Linked DNA regions of Drosophila melanogaster. The protein of the gene in region 4 interacts with the protein of the main gene of each other region in a pairwise test. Each region holds a gene or a part of one and is shown on either strand. Other genes may lie near its edges. The genes, in order: CG12995, CG6470, Mob2 and Nnf1a.

Region 1 (3,152 bases), on a different chromosome or scaffold from region 4:
ACTATGTGGACACCTTGACCGCATCGCATTTGCCACATTCAGTGATTCCATCGATTCCATCGATACCTTCGATACCTTCGATCCACGAACCCCGCATCGTGGTCAATGATAATGTGGACTTTTCGCAACTCAAATTGCCCCAGCATCAAGTTGTCCACTCCCACGGCCGCTAAATGGGTTCATTGCGAAACAATTTATAAACTATCATAAATAACTACTTTTCGGCGGTCTTATTACTTTAAGTTAAGTTTTTTTTTGTTTGTTTTCAATTTATTATTCAATAAAATTGCTATAAAATATATTGGTTTTTAAGGTTGACGAATGCATGGACAATATTTATATGTGTGCCAAAAACACAATTTTTAAATATGTAACATTTTTAAACATGCAGATTTTGTAATTAATTAAAATCCAGGACATCTTTTTAACTTATTTAAATTTTCATAAATACTTGACCATATTTATTTATAGGTTGTGCCCCCAAGAGAGCTTTTCAATTCAATTTAACTTACATTTATTTTAATAATCGTTAAAAAAAAAACACTTTTATAATAATATAATCTTTGAGCATTTTGATAGGTCTTGTGTGCGACTATCACAGTCTTAGTAGAGATGTTCCAGCTGGTGGTGCTCCGCCAGGTGGTGGTCGTGCTCCGCCTGGTGCTCCACCTGCTGTTCGAGTGCCTGGTGCTGGATGTGGTGCAGTTCGTGCTCATCCCGATCCTTGAACTCGTACAGGGTGCTGTAGCTGAAGGCGCCCTTGCCATGATCGATGCCGGGCACAGCCTTGTGGTCCTCGTAGTGGGAGTGCAACTCGCTGGCCTCGGCGTACTCCTCGCCGGCATCGCTGCTGCCGTAATCTGACGGGAAGCTCTCCTCGCCCAGGTGATCGCCGAGGGAGCCCAAGTGATCCGCCTCCGCGGAGGCTCCGAATTCGTGCGAAGATGAGCTGAAGTCCAGCTTGGACAAGGCCTCGCCGCCAGTCAGACCGCCGGCGTAGTGGCCCAAAAGTCCCGCCGAATGGACCACTGCATTGGAGGACACATCATCCCCCAAAGGATAACATTGGATGCCTAGCAGCAGCTGACCCAGAAGGATCATCAGTTTCAGGCGATAGGTGAACATGGTTGGATGTGGTAGAAGTGTTTTAACCGACGCGGCGAAATGTTTCGAGTCAACTAATTTACTGCTACCAACTGCATTGGATTTTATATGCTCGGAGCACTCACATTCGACCGCAAATACATGCCGCATTTTCCTGCATTTTCCGTCGACTTTTGCACACAGTCTTTTGTTTTGTTTGGCTAAAAGCGAAAAACACAGAAAAAAAAAAATGTTGCAACGGACATCTGCCTGCTGGCCGCTCGTTCGGCTGGAGCTGATAATTTGCTGCACTTACTCCGCATTACGTCGACGTCTAAGTGGCGGGGCCATTGAAAAGCCTGTTGCAATGGTGCGTATACGTAATAATTTTGGTCTTCTCAATTATTTTTTGGCTTTTTGGCCATTAGGCCCGTTCTCGGTATATGGACCATATTGCGTCATCTGTGGCATCCCTGTGGGCCTTAACCCTCCGCCTATTTGCACTTAAGGCGGAAGCTCGCTAGATTTTTGGCACAGGCCAACTAATTGGGTTTATCAACAGCAAATAGTGGAAGTAGAATGGCAAATATAAAGAGTCATTCACATATACGAGTATGTGAGTTGAAGGTGTATATTTATCGGGCCAAACAATGCAGTGAGATGTGTCCATTGTGCAAAGTGGCCAAAAAGTGCACTTAACTCATTGAGAAACTGTTTGGATAGGTACTTTTATATTTGATAAATATAAAATAGTCAAAGATGTAGAGTACAAACTTATTTGAAACATATTTCGCAAATTTATTAAATCACGAAAAGGATTTAAATACATTGCCAAAAATATTCTCTAAGAACAGCATCCGTTTATCAAGTCTTTTATTTTATATATTTCTCTCTTAACTTATCATCAGCGAGTCTTACATAAATCTATAACTCAAACTAACTCCAAATTATAGTCTAATGGATATAGAGCAATCTGAATTGATTTCGATTTCATGAGTCTCTCTACTGCAATTAAAAGCACAAGAAGCCAGCAGAGCGAGAAGTCCGCGCTCGATCGCCAGTAGTTTTTAAAAAAACCCACAGCTCCATGCGTCTGACATACTCACCAATATTCCCATTCCCAACAAGATATGGGTGCTATATACTCCATATATGGAGCACGAGTGCCTGGAAGATTGCAAAAGGTGGAAAAGCGAAACAAAACCGTTACCGATGTACATATAAACATTTGCCGTCAATTCAGCGCGCTATGTGCGAATAAATTTCCAAAAACTAAGAAAATCGGTTTGTAGCGAAGTTCGGCTGCTCTCATTAAATGAATAATAATATATGAATCAGTAAAAAAAGTCAAGAAAATATCAATCAACAAATAATACTAGTAACAAAACTTTATCGAAAGACATCTGAGAATATAAGCTGAAAAAAGCCCAGGAAGTAGAGAGAATATTATATTTTGAAAACTATAAATATTAAATGAAACAACTGATAAATATTTATTTTATCACAATAATTAAAAAATTAATTTTTTAAATGGTTAGTTGCTTCTATGGTATATTATACTATCCCATTAGGATTGACATTTATTGGGTATTTTCTTTGGGTGTAGCTCGGCATTTCTTCGAAGTCGGCCAGTGTGAATAATTGGGCAGTATTAATCTGTGAATCCACCATCCAAATGGCCAACTGGAAGCACTCGCATTTGGGCTATTGGCGCTTCTGATTGCCGCTGTTTATTCCATGTTGCTGGTTGCTAGTTGCTGGTTAATAGTTGCTAGTTTCTGGCGGGTTGCGTGCCGGCAACATCAACGAACAGCAGCAGCAACACCACCAGTCGGGCTCACAAATTACCAATGTAATAGCACCGCTTGTTTTGTGTTTAATTTTGATACCCCTTAGTCTTTGAGAAAGGGGGTATACTAGTTTCGTTAGAAAGTATGAAACAGGTAGACGAAAGTTTTTCGACCATGGATACGTGTTTTCCTCGAACTATTTCATAGTTGAGCCACTCGAATACCTCTTGTCATAATTTTGTATTTTTTGCTTTTTGTTGATTGTGGGGGCGGTGAGTA
Region 2 (4,537 bases), on a different chromosome or scaffold from region 4:
CTGTTGCGATCGACTGATGGCTTCGATCCGCCCGAGTTGCCGCTCATCGCCTATCTTGTATTCCCTGCACACGACCCACTACCGCCAACGCCACCGCCGCCGCCGCAAGCGCGAAAGAGATAGCGCACAGAAACTTTGAGCTTGACCGCCAAAGCTCGGCACGGAACGGAACGGTGAACGGTGAACGGTAAACGGTAAGGCAAGGTAGCGCCGGTGACGCAACGGACGTGCGTGCAGTCAGCTTCATTGAGCGAATGTATCGATGCACAGCTATCGTATCGATTGCTCGAGCTGGGTATCGAAGCGCTTCTGTAATACATCGATATCATTCTTCTTTACATATTAGATAGTGGACTAGAGAGGAAGCGATTTCTCATCGATTTTTTCGATAAATTTAAAAATATATATACCCATTTTAGTATCTTATTATGCTTTTAAAGCCTCAATGGATTATGATTCTTTTACCTTTCCGCCAAGTATCTAAGAAATGACAATTCATTGCAAGTAAATCTTCTGTTTAGTTCAAATATTTAATTATATTCAATACATTTGCATCAACGTGCTGGGGACTCTTAATTTAGTTTTAATTGACCGTCGTTTGTGGAATGTGACTATTCAACGCCAGTGTGTGTTTCGGTCTTCAGAACAGGTGAGTCTCCCACTAATCGTGTCATTGTGCTCAATTCATACTTCTAATAATTTTGCCTTCAATTCCACAAATTTTGATGATCCTGGTAAACAAATCAAATACAGTTGAGCTGCATACGCCCTGCACTTGACAATTTTCCTTTCGTTTCAATGGATTCTTCTGGTGTTTGGAAGCAAGCGTTGGTTCTGCATCCAGTTTCTGGTGAAGATTGGTAATGAGGACGACTAGCGCCAGCGCTCGTGCACTGCCGACTCGCGCATGATAATCTTCTGAAGTTTTTCCTGCTGGGTCATCTGATCCTGCTGGTTGGTGGCACTGTTTCCCTGGTGGTGAACCGGCTGCTGCGCCCGCTGAAAGTTGGGCAACGGCGCCTTCTTCTCGTGCGCCAGTTCCGTGAAGGCCAGCTTGCGGCGCTGCTGCGGCGGTATCTTCTTGCAGTAGCTCAGCAGATGGATGTGCAGCGTGCGTTCCAGGTCGAAGGAGCGATCGCAGTACTTGCACAAATGGACGGTGGTCAGGGTGGTTCTGCTCTCCCGCGGTCGCCGTGCACGGAAGCGCACCTTGAAGTCATCGTCGTGGGTGTGCCGGTGGGCGCCCAGCAGCGATCGGATGTGAAACTTGGCACCGCACACGCCGCACGAGTAGCTGGGCAGCTGCTGGTCCGTGGCATAGCTGCCCAGCGGCTTCAGCTGCAGTCGGCCAAACGGTCCGCCCTGATACTCCCCGCCATCTCCTTCATCATGATCGGGCTTCGTCGTTCCGTTGGAGGCTTGCTGTGCGGCCATAATGGCTTCCATTTCCGCTGCCTCGGCCTCGGCCTCGTAGTTCCGGGGCGTGAGGCCATTGCGACGAGGAGATAGCAATACTGTTGGAGAATGGAGAATGGAGAATTGGTTAACTCAATATGAGATCTTAAATTAATATCACTTTTAATATACTATATTAATCAGTTAAGTACTATATACCAAATTTGGTGTTAGTAGCTTTAATAAGGCCCAAGATCATATAGATAACAGGTGTCCAAATCGATTATATTTAATAACCTACAATTGTAATCGTTGTTTTAAAATAAATTGCACTTGAAACTTATGTTTCGTGATTTATATGAGTATAATAAACCAATAAAGTACTGTACACCAAATTTGGTGTCTCTTGCCTAACTAAGCACCAAGATCATATAGAAAGAAGGGTCTTAAGTAGATGATATATGTAATGATGATAAATATATACTGCTGTTTCAAGATTTTAAAGAGTTCTAATAACCAATAACGTATTGTATACCAAATTTGGTGTCTCTAGCTTGAATAATACCCAAGATCATATAGAAAGGTGCATCCCAAATCGACGATATGCAAATGTATTTGTAACTTACGATTGCAACTGCTGCGTCTTCTGTTATCGTAGTTGTTCGTCTTCTCCAGCGGCGAACTCTCCTCCTCGTCGGTCTCTTCCTGAGCTGGAGCGTGTAGCAGACTCCTCTTGCTGCGCCTGCGACGCTCACCATGGGCATGGCCAGCCATGCTCGATCCTTCCCGCCCTGCTCCTCCGCCTGCGCCAGCCGTGCTTCGCTTGGCCGCCCGAGTGGATGCACTGGCTCTGTTCGACTCGGACAGGTAGATCAGCTTGCGCTCCACCGCCCTGCGCGCGTTCTCCACCTGAGCCTCCACGAATTCCTGCGGCTGAATCCTGGAGCATCCGGTCCGCTTGGCGCGCTTCACCTTGATGGGCTTTTGCGGCTTGTTCATCTCGTGTGTGGTGTGCGTGTGTGTTTGTGTATGTGTAGCGTGTCTTATTAATTTTCAATGCTATTTTTTTAATTTCAGTTTGTAGTCAGTCGGTGTCGAAGGAATACTGAATCTAAGGGTGATGCTTAAATATATACCAATGAAACTAAGCACATCGCCTGCTGGGCAGGGAAATTTTAAATGTTGAAGTAAAAAACATTTTTCCAATCTTATATTTCATTTCGAATTTTTCGATTTTTAAACAATTTAACAATAAACAACAATTTAAACAAAAAACGCTTCTTAAAATATTTCAGGATTTGCTATTTAAAAAAAAATATATTTTTTTTAATTGATGATTTGTAATATATGTAGTTTTGACAAAAAATATTCTATTTAATGATTTTAGGATAGATAAGTTTGTGCTGTAATCGAATCAACTTATTTTAACTTATTTGAACTTGTTTAAAACAAAAAACAAACAAGATCAACTTTACGCAATCAAGTGACATGAACATTTTTATTTAAAAAAAAAAAAAAACGATAAAATTAGCTAATAAATTGTAGTGCAGTTAATATTACTAACAGTGGCCAGCATTCGTGTGTTGATTGTTGTTAATAAATTATAAATTATACACTTTACATGTCCGCCAGCCCAGTTATCAACCACGGTTTGAGTTCGCACTAGCGCACGTTTTCCCACCACGCGACGAACGGTCACATTGACCACCGCGTGCGAATTTTTTTTTTGGCCAGCAGCGCAGAAAAAGCAGCTGAAAGCTGGAAAAGACAGCATAAATCGCCGTGTCGATTCGAGACGATTGAAACGCCGCGCGCCCGCCTTTTGCAGTGGACTGTCAACCGTTTGCCGTTTTTCATTTTTGGCCATCGAGCACGGAATATGAGTGATACGCGTGAGCAGATTCTGGAGCAAATCAAAGTGCAAGGCGATCTCGTCCGTCAATTGAAAGCAGCGAAGGAGTCGAAGGAGAAGGTCAGTTTTTGGTCGTACTTCCAGTTGGAAACCGACTCCCTCCCTCCACCCAGCACTACCACTTCCACCATCCAACCCCCCCACCCGTCAGCAACGCGTCCGCCTTCCAGTGTCATCCCCCTTTGTGTGTGTACAATGGAATAAGTGCAATTGTTGCCGTAATTCCCGGCCCTGCTTTCGTCATCAAATTCGAAATCCCACTCGCATACATATTTCATCAGATCGTCATGCAGTTGAGAATAAGGGAAATAACAAAAAACACACACATGCTGCGCTGGCATTTGGAGTTGTTCGAAATCTTCGTTTTTGCAGTGTAATAATTAGATGAATGTAACATCGGAAGAGCGGTGCAAAGGAAAAACGGCAAATTAAAGGAGCGCGCAGACTTTCACATTTACATTCGCATTCGCACATTCGTGCCACTCTGTTGTTATTGTTGTCTCGCTCTGGCCAACGGCAAATGCACTGCTTCTGTGTGCGTGTGTGTTAGTGTTGTGCACAGTGATGCCAAACTATTGTCCCGACTATTTGGCTGGAAAGTAGCTTAAATTAGCAGTGCTGTCCGAAGCTGTGACTAATAGAAGCAATTGTTTATATTAATCTCTTGCTGATGTAAGTCTACTGATGCTCACTTCAAATCTTTGGCTGGATTTCCTTGAAACTGTGCTGAAAACAGTTGGAGACTTCTAGAAAACTCAATAATCTTTTGTGTTAATAAGACCTTAAAGTGATTTTTCCTGTACTCTTTGATGTTCTAGACGCTGTCCAATTAGAACAAGTATTGTACAGGTATTAAATAATCCAATTGGGATACTTAGGATATCTTTCAGATTTGAAGTTGAAGCTTGCATGTTCAGTAATCGAAAAAAGATTTAATTTCATAATTTTAGATTTAGATTTAATTAAAGTCAAGTAGCTAAATGAGACTAATAGCTGGATTTGCATCACCAAAGTGAGTGCTCTATGACCGACTGACTGACTGAAAAGAGAGCGACTGGTCAAACAGGAGGCATGTACAAAAGGCACATGGTGGTTATAGCGATTATATCAAAAACCTGCTAGACCACAATCAACCGATCCAAGACTTGACGACTGCAACATGTGATTTGGGCTATGAGGCATTTGCAACAACGCTTACCACCAACTGCACTTATTCCTATTGTTCAAATC
Region 3 (4,701 bases), on a different chromosome or scaffold from region 4:
ATATAAGCAAAAAGAGGTACCCTGTACATTTCGATCTTTGATTTTCTATTGATATGAAGATCCTCTTTCTTCAATGTAAAACTAATTCGTTCTGTTAGTATTTTTTATATTTTTTGTGCTTTTAAATTTTAACTTTACGAAACTAATATCCCAAATTTCTCATGAAACTCTTTGTGCAGCTTAAAGCAAAAACTTTTAATTGCTTGCAGACAATACTAGGAAGCCAATAAAATGGTCTGAAGTGCGTGCTAAAAAAAAAGTACGAAAAATCGAAAGATGACAGAAAAGGGGTTAATGCCTATTGTTTTGTTTATTCAGCTCGAAACCAGCTACTGATTCCAATATCCAAAATGTTCAATTTCCGCGTCGCTGTCGCACTTAACCTTCAACTCGCATTGAAGCCAATTTGCTGACTCTGTTGTCTTTTCCCCCCAAACGAGTTTTGTCTTTTGTGCGCCCCCCTTCTAGTATCGTTTTCACACCTCCGCACACAGAACAACTGGCGCCCCATCAAAACCGAAATTTATGATGTGATTCTAGCAACGCGACGGCGAGTGTTTTTTTTTTCTTAGATTGCCCATTGCTCGCGTTTTGAATGAGCTTAATTGTTGCCGATTTGAGTGTGCTTTTCATGTATATGCAGCACAACCCGTTAAAGGTCAAATGAGCGATTGGCAAAGTCGAAAGAGAGAAAAAAAAAATAGAAACCGAAACCGAAAATGAACCCCCACCCCCTTTGCTCGCTAGAAAAGCTGGAGAATTATGTCTATGTCTGCTAACGAAAGAAATGAAAACGAGTTCCACAACTGGCAAACGACGAGCAGGAAGACGACAGCAGATATGGAAAGGGAGATAGAAGCTGTGCAGCGGTACGGTGACGTGAGATGTGCGATGCACATGCAATGGATGACATGATATACATAGTAGATAGGTGTATCTCCGTACCCCCACCACCAAACCCCATGCCAAGCCGTACAAAACCCATCCATATATATCTTCGAGCTGGTTTGGGTTGTTCTGTTCTGTTCGCTTCATTTTGGTTTGGTTTGGTCTGGAAGAGCTGACCGGCGGGCAGGCAGAGCATCATACATACATACATATGGCATAACGGTTCGGCGGAAAGGCGCAGAGAAGTTTTCGGGTCGCTAACTAACCCAGTTACCAGAGATTCATCCGACAGCGTTTATAACTGTGACTATCCTTTTCATATGGGTTAAACGATCGATTGAGATACACGTCGAATGAAAACAGTCCCAATAGAACCGAAATGCATATGTATGAATTCGATTAAATGCGATTGCTGAGTTACTAAATTAGTATCTATACGATTTTGCTGGAATTGCTTAATGGGGAAATACCGTGAGAAAAGTGTTTCATAACGGGGGCAAAACGTTCAATCGCAAATAGTACATAGATACTTTTCTATACCATTATATATCGAACTAAAATTGTTAGTTTGGATAAATATCATAGTGCTTCTTCCTAATTAGTTCCTGAGCTTACATAAATCCTTAACATCCGCAACACAGAAGGGCCTACACAGAAAACGAATCGAATTCGGTTAGATAATATCGCACCACAAAGGCTTGAATCAATTTCATTTCCTCTGCCTTCCGCAAATTGTCCATGGCAATTCAACTATGGGAATCCGCAACTAGTTCCAGTTGGCTTTGCAATTTTTAGCATGACCTCAAAAAATCGATGGATGGCCTAGCGCATTTGAGGACCCAAAGGGTTGGCGAGGGGCAGTGGTAGGAAGGCGCGGGGGGTCTGGACGAAAGGTGTGAGAAATAACAAGCTGCTGGTTGAGCCACTCGTAACTGTTGTTTTCTCAGCGTATTGAACACGTAGGCGCGTCAACGGGGTTGACAAAAAGTAGAAACAACGCAACCAGGATGTGCACGGAAAAAAGAGGAAATACTCTAGGCCCAATAAGATATATCATTATTTTAAGATTTTCACTCTTTTTATTTTTAGAAGGTATTTAAAGGCAGTTTGAATAAGGATATATTCCATAAAAACCTATCTTTAAATAATTCTTGTGAAAACTGTCAAATGAACCCTAACAATACCCCCATTTCTTTCTGTGTGGCAGAGAAAACACCTGACAATGCAGTTGAGTGTGAGGGGGCGTTAATAAGGGAGGGTTGAGGGTTGCAGGGCAGACAACCAGACAAGCGGACGAACAGACAGGAAGCTCGTGAGGAAGGAAGTTCCTGCCGCTGCGGCAAAGGAAGTGGTTAAAACAATATGGCAGTGGAGGAACAAGTAGTGGTGGAGTGGCAGTGGCAGTGGCACACCAAGCAACATTGTGAATGCCCAATGTACCGTTGTTGTTGCTGACGCTGGAGTAGCAGCTTTGCTGCAGCGTTGCAGTTGTTGCTGGTGTGCCAATTCTAAGCGCTGCATTGGCAACAGTCGCGCTTCGCCGGTTTCGCAACTGAACTCTCAGCTGCTATTGCTCCTCTGCAGTTAGTTGCTGTTGCTTCTGCTGCTGCTGCTGTTGCTGCATTGCGCGTAATCAGTGAAGCAACAAACCGTGGCAGCTAGCTGCAACAGCAACAATAACACGCCAGCAGTCGCGGCTCTGAGGAAAAACTTGAATGCAGTTTTTCGCAGCGAATGACACAGTTTCACACCAGCACGGGAAAACACTAGCACACACACAGAGAAGAACTTCTTTTCTTTCTTTCTTTTTTTTTTTGTTGGAGAACAGACTCCTTTTCGGCTTACATTTGTTCCCCTTTTCGGGATATTAGTTTGTATTGGTAGGCGATTTTATTTCACAATCTAGCATAGCATTTCACGGTGGCAATTGATGTTGCAAATGTTGCGCTGCTTGCTGCTGGAGTTGCTGTTTTGCTTTTAACTGCGACGCGATGATGTGTGGTTGCAACCGACGGCGGCGCCTCGAAAAACAATGTCAAATAATGACGCGGCGACATCAACAGTCCACTATTGACGACGACCTGCAACCGCTCGAGCGACCAAGCGTGCCAAAGGAAATTTCTACACTGAGCCAAGCCGTCCGTCTTTGACTGACTGCTGCTCGTTCGGCTGGCAACAGCAACACATACACATACACAGCGGCAACAACAGCAACACACAGCGGCAACATCAACACTCACGCAAGTAAGGAGAGAAAAAAGGCAGCAAAAGCAAAAACACAAAACTGGCAACGAAAGCAGAGCACACAGTAAAGATGAAGTGGTTGCTGTTGTTGTTATTGTTGCTGCTGATGTTGCTGCTGTCTCGCACACCAGCAACATTTGCTCTCCGCTCGAGCGCGAGGAAGAGAGCTAGAGGTATCAAATACCAGCTGAGCGGGAGAGAGCTGCCCGTGTACGTGTTTTGCATACAAATGCGCCACTCAAGCGAGACACGCACATCTATACGGTTTTCGACCACTTGTTTGACTGCTTTGGCTTTAGCCCTCTCTCTTCTACGCTCTCTCGCATCAGCTGAGCGCTCATGTTTTGATGCTCAGCAGCTGACTGCGCTGGCGTTGCCACACAGCTCGGTAACAAGAGAACACGGCAAAGTGGCAGTAGAATAGTAGCAGAATCTACTACTTTTTTAACGCATTGAACAAACCTAGGATAAACTCTATAAATAACAATTAGAAATTAATTTTCCACGAAAAGGGATAATTGTACCGTTCGTATGAAACATTTAAATGGATTTCTCATAAATATATTGCCATTGTTGATTCATTAACACATGGTTTTAATGATCACAGGTAAACGAAATAAATTCGGCAAATTTAATGGCTAACACAATTTCGTACAATTGACGCAAACATCACATCACTTATGTACTTTTACCAAGAACACTAATTGGCTTGATAACAATCTGTTCAACTAAAACATCATAGAGTTTTGTTAAAGCGCTAAACATTTATTTAATACGTTTAATACTCTAAGCATGTTATAATTTTTTTCTCAGTTAAAATGACTGCTCTAATTGACTTAAACAAATTACCTGGGATTTGGGTAAGCTCATGCTCAAGATATTTCACTCACCTGAAAGGAAAACAGAAAATAAAGAATTAAAGATATATTCCAATTTGTTATTCTCGATGGTAAGGACCTCCAGCTACGTGGTTCTTATCAATGAAGTGACCCCAAGCCCGCATGAAATAGCTACTCCTCTGACCATCAAATCTCTCCACAGGGAGTAATTATCACGCTCTTTTTCGGCCAGGAAGAAATAAAATCAGTAATCAAATAGAATGGAGCGGTAGACGAAAACCGAAGAACACAGGAACTGCATTTGCTGCCTAACTTACACAGAATCTAGACCCGAATAAGAAAACATAATATAAACGCATCGTCATTCTGCGTAAATAAAGTTGAAAACAGGAACACGCAATGCACTTAGATAAATTTGGACCGACATGTGTGGTATTCATTAAGCGAATAACTAAAAAGAATGATTAACAAAAACACAACAGTACCAACCCACATAAACTTATTTTATATTTTTAAATTTACTAGACAATTGCATTAATACACTTTTTTTCGAGTGTATCTCAAAACAGCTGTCCATTGACGAGCTGAAGAAAAACAAGAACAAATACGACTGGGGCGAAAAGGTGAGAAGCGGATAGAGGAAAAGGAATCTTGGCAGCAGAGAACGCGCACCTGTGACCGCCCGCAATGCAACCGAAACGGCGGCAAGTTCATTTGCACCACATCAAAA
Region 4 (3,246 bases):
TACAATTTGTTTGCTGACCAATTTGGAACTCAACACATTTACGTGAGAATTCAGTTCAATGTCAACGAACGCGTGCAAATAGCCGCGAAATATCTTTGGAATTGCTTCACTCGAAATAAACGCTAGAAACAAACGAAAAATACCTCGGCCAAAAAAGGCAAATAAAAGCGAATTTTTTCGCAAAACTGGAAATCTAAACAGAGACAAAGGAGATTCGTCACAATCGCCAAAGAACGAAAAGCAAAAGTTGCAGAATTGCTGAGAAGATTTGCAGACGGAAGAAGAAGAGAGCTGTTGTTAAAAAGCTGCAAATGCCAATGGGTTAATGAGGGGGAGGGGGGCAAAGAGAAAAGAAGAGGAGCAATGAAGAGAGGGGGGAGGCAAGTAGGTGGTAATAAGCTGCACCCAACCAACAAGCGAAACAACAACAGTTAGCTTCCATTTGTATTTTTCTCTCTCATTAGCCTCTCTTCGCCATTTCCTCTGCCTCTCCGTTTTCTACGTACCTCATCGATTGATGCTAAAAACTATGAATAAAATATAGGTTAGGCCTTTTCCTTATTTGTAAAAAGCCAACGAGCGTTGAACTCGTCTTGTAGCGTGGGAGTTTTGCTTTCGGAACAACGAAACTATTTTGTTTTGATTTTATCTCAGCGAATTATAATGAAATTTATGCACCGGTGTAACCGCGTGGAGATAAAAGAAAAAGGGAAGCAACGAAACGAAAAGAAAAGAAAAAACAGCAAATGTGAAAAACAAAACAAGCGACTAAAGCGATGGGCCAATTATAAAAACAACAACTATGCGACTCTGTACTTTAAGTAAAAGCCGGCATGCGTGCGAGCAAGCGAGAGAGGCAGAGAGAACAGGGCGGCAGAGCGAGAGAGAGCTAGGAATATTTCTGTGTGCCCTGGTGGTTGTAATAAAATGAAAGGAAGAAAAACTGTAAAACTCAAGCGCCGAAGCCAAAAGAACGATTTTGGGGGTGTAGTTAAAAATCACACTATATTGCTATAAAAAATCGGCATGTATTGGCGAATCTTTTTCTTAGAAATGTATTCAGGAAAACACAAGACCACACAACACACACACACATTGCTTTTAGCCTGGTTTATTTGCCTCGCAAATTCGCTTTTCATTCGCGTTTCCCCAGGCAAAAGATAAAAAAAAACTGTAGAAGAAAAACTCACCTATCGGGATGCCTTTGTTTTCCTTCAGCTACGAAGACTTTGATGCCACCGAACTTAATCACTTAACTTTCAATTGGTATTCAACACGATTTTGTCCGCCACTAAACACTGGCTGGTAAAATATTATTCAAAATATGTATAGCACAAACACACTAGAGCTGAGTTAAAATGCACAAAAGTTAGAGAGGAATTGGAAAATGGCGTATCACCCTGTCATCGATACCTGGACTATCGATATATGATGGTTGAAAACGGTGGTTTAACACTTATTCTTAAAAATACTGTTCGGTGGTATTTATTCATTTTGTTTGACATTGTAATGTAAAAGGCACATATTCTCACCATACCGCTGAATGAAATATATTTATATTTTCAACATCACTTATGTTACAAGGGACTTATGAGTAATAAGAGCTAGTGGAAATACCTCAAAAAAAAACCAATAACAGGGTTGTCACCATACTCTATAATTTCTATCGGCCTGGTGTTTTGCAGAAACTTGCAACTGGTCACACCAATGTGGCATTGTTTTGTTTTGTTTACAATTTGAATTTACTAACAAATTATTTCAATGGAGGATTCGGAAGCCGCATTTAAACGCCACGAGGGTGTGGGACCAAAGGTGAAACAGGCCTACGAGGAAGCCATTAAACAAATCTTTGCCGACTTGAGGTAAGCAGCAGGCATAGTTAACATGATAACGAATATTAAAAATCGTTAATATCTAGCTGCGCAGATCTGCAAGCGTGGGATGCCATTTACCAGGAGCACGAGCAATCCGCTCTGGACACCGAAAGCATCGTAGATCGCACTCGCAGTCTGATGACCAAGGTTGTGCTCGAAATGAACCGATGCTTTTTCGCCAGCAACGATGTGCCAAATAAGTTGCAAACTTTGGAAATGCTCAAGGAACATTTCGCTGCCTACGAGGGCAAGAAATGGTACATGTGCAGCATAAAACATAATACGATTCGATTGCATTGCTAACTCTACTCTACTCTATTGTAATCTATAGGAACGTGAACACTGCAGCACCCGATAAACTCACTCGGCCGCTGCGCATGCGATTTTTGGACTTCAGCGTGGAATTCATGGAGCAGCAACTGGCCTCTCAGGCAAAAGAACTTGAGGTGCGATTTGGATATTAGTTAATCTTTGTACTATTACTGCACTGTTTTGAGTGTACCAAAAGATCCCTAAAGTTAAAGAACCTTCGAGAAGATTTTTAGTTTAATAATTTCATTTCTATAGTTTATCATTTGCATATACATATGTACATATCTAGGTTTGTTATTCTATCAGTATAACTAACATTTGTTTATATTTCAATTACAGATTGCTATGGCCAAGAGCAATGCCAATCGCGAGCGACTCCAACATGTCCATGACAAGCGCCTGAAATTGACTGTCCAAATGGAGCAGCAATTGTCGCAGTACGAGAAAGTTAAGACAGAACTTATTAAACTAGGCGAAGCATTGAACGACTTCTGACAAACTTAAATGCAATAAATAAATAAAATACTACGCTATGAGCTTAATGATTTGAGTGGGGGGTCTTAAAATGGAAATTCATACAAACTAATCTGCATATTCATTAATGTACATACATATGTATGTACACATGCATTTGTCATTGACATTCACAATTTATTTAAATTCGTATCATTGCAATAAGCTCATAATATTAACGAGCAATTGTTTGTATTGGCGACAAAAAATCTTTTAAAATTGAATGTATATACATACATTTCAAGTTATCTCTATAAAGAATACGATAAATAGTACGAAGTTTTTAGCTAAACATGTGTAAACTTATGTATGTATGCATGTGTTTTTTGAGTGATTTCTTAGAATCGCTGTGTGCTTACACACTCCCATACATACATACTTGATTGCGTAGTATAAATCAAAGGAATGGTATTAGTGTAAAAAAGAACCGAATTTTTGCTAGATCTTCCTCAAAAAGTAACTAATAATATACATTTAAAGATGTTTTTTAAAAGATTCGTTTTAATTTCCCTTGTGAGACTGCACTCATTATACAGATTTTCAGTTA

What was found.
Region 1: the proteins of Nnf1a (region 4) and CG12995 interact in a two-hybrid assay, tested with the Drosophila melanogaster proteins (one large-scale study listed by BioGRID).
Region 2: the proteins of Nnf1a (region 4) and CG6470 interact in a two-hybrid assay, tested with the Drosophila melanogaster proteins (one large-scale study listed by BioGRID).
Region 3: the proteins of Nnf1a (region 4) and Mob2 interact in a two-hybrid assay, tested with the Drosophila melanogaster proteins (one large-scale study listed by BioGRID).

The regions. Positions count from the first base shown.
Region 1 is NC_004354.4:17,208,837-17,211,988, forward strand, and holds CG12995 (uncharacterized protein), read right to left. Parts: upstream 1,162-3,152; 5' UTR 1,126-1,161; coding exon 604-1,125; 3' UTR 532-603; downstream 1-531. Other genes in the region: CG32563 (uncharacterized protein), read left to right, coding at 1-173.
Region 2 is NC_004354.4:18,512,316-18,516,852, forward strand, and holds CG6470 (uncharacterized protein), read right to left. Parts: upstream 2,553-4,537; 5' UTR 2,395-2,552; coding exon 2,022-2,394; intron 1,515-2,021; coding exon 874-1,514; 3' UTR 514-873; downstream 1-513. Other genes in the region: HisRS (Histidyl-tRNA synthetase), read left to right, coding at 3,275-3,367.
Region 3 is NT_037436.4:11,550,097-11,554,797, forward strand, and holds the start of Mob2 (Mob2), read right to left. Parts: upstream 3,017-4,701; 5' UTR 2,734-3,016; intron 2,598-2,733; exon of another isoform or gene 2,443-2,597; intron 1-2,442. UniProt on the Drosophila melanogaster protein: Required for the normal morphogenesis of a variety of polarized outgrowths including epidermal hairs, bristles, arista laterals, and dendrites.
Region 4 is NT_033778.4:20,585,689-20,588,934, reverse strand, and holds Nnf1a (Nnf1a), read left to right. Parts: upstream 1-1,696; 5' UTR 1,697-1,761; coding exon 1,762-1,862; intron 1,863-1,918; coding exon 1,919-2,131; intron 2,132-2,205; coding exon 2,206-2,320; intron 2,321-2,525; coding exon 2,526-2,681; 3' UTR 2,682-2,713; downstream 2,714-3,246.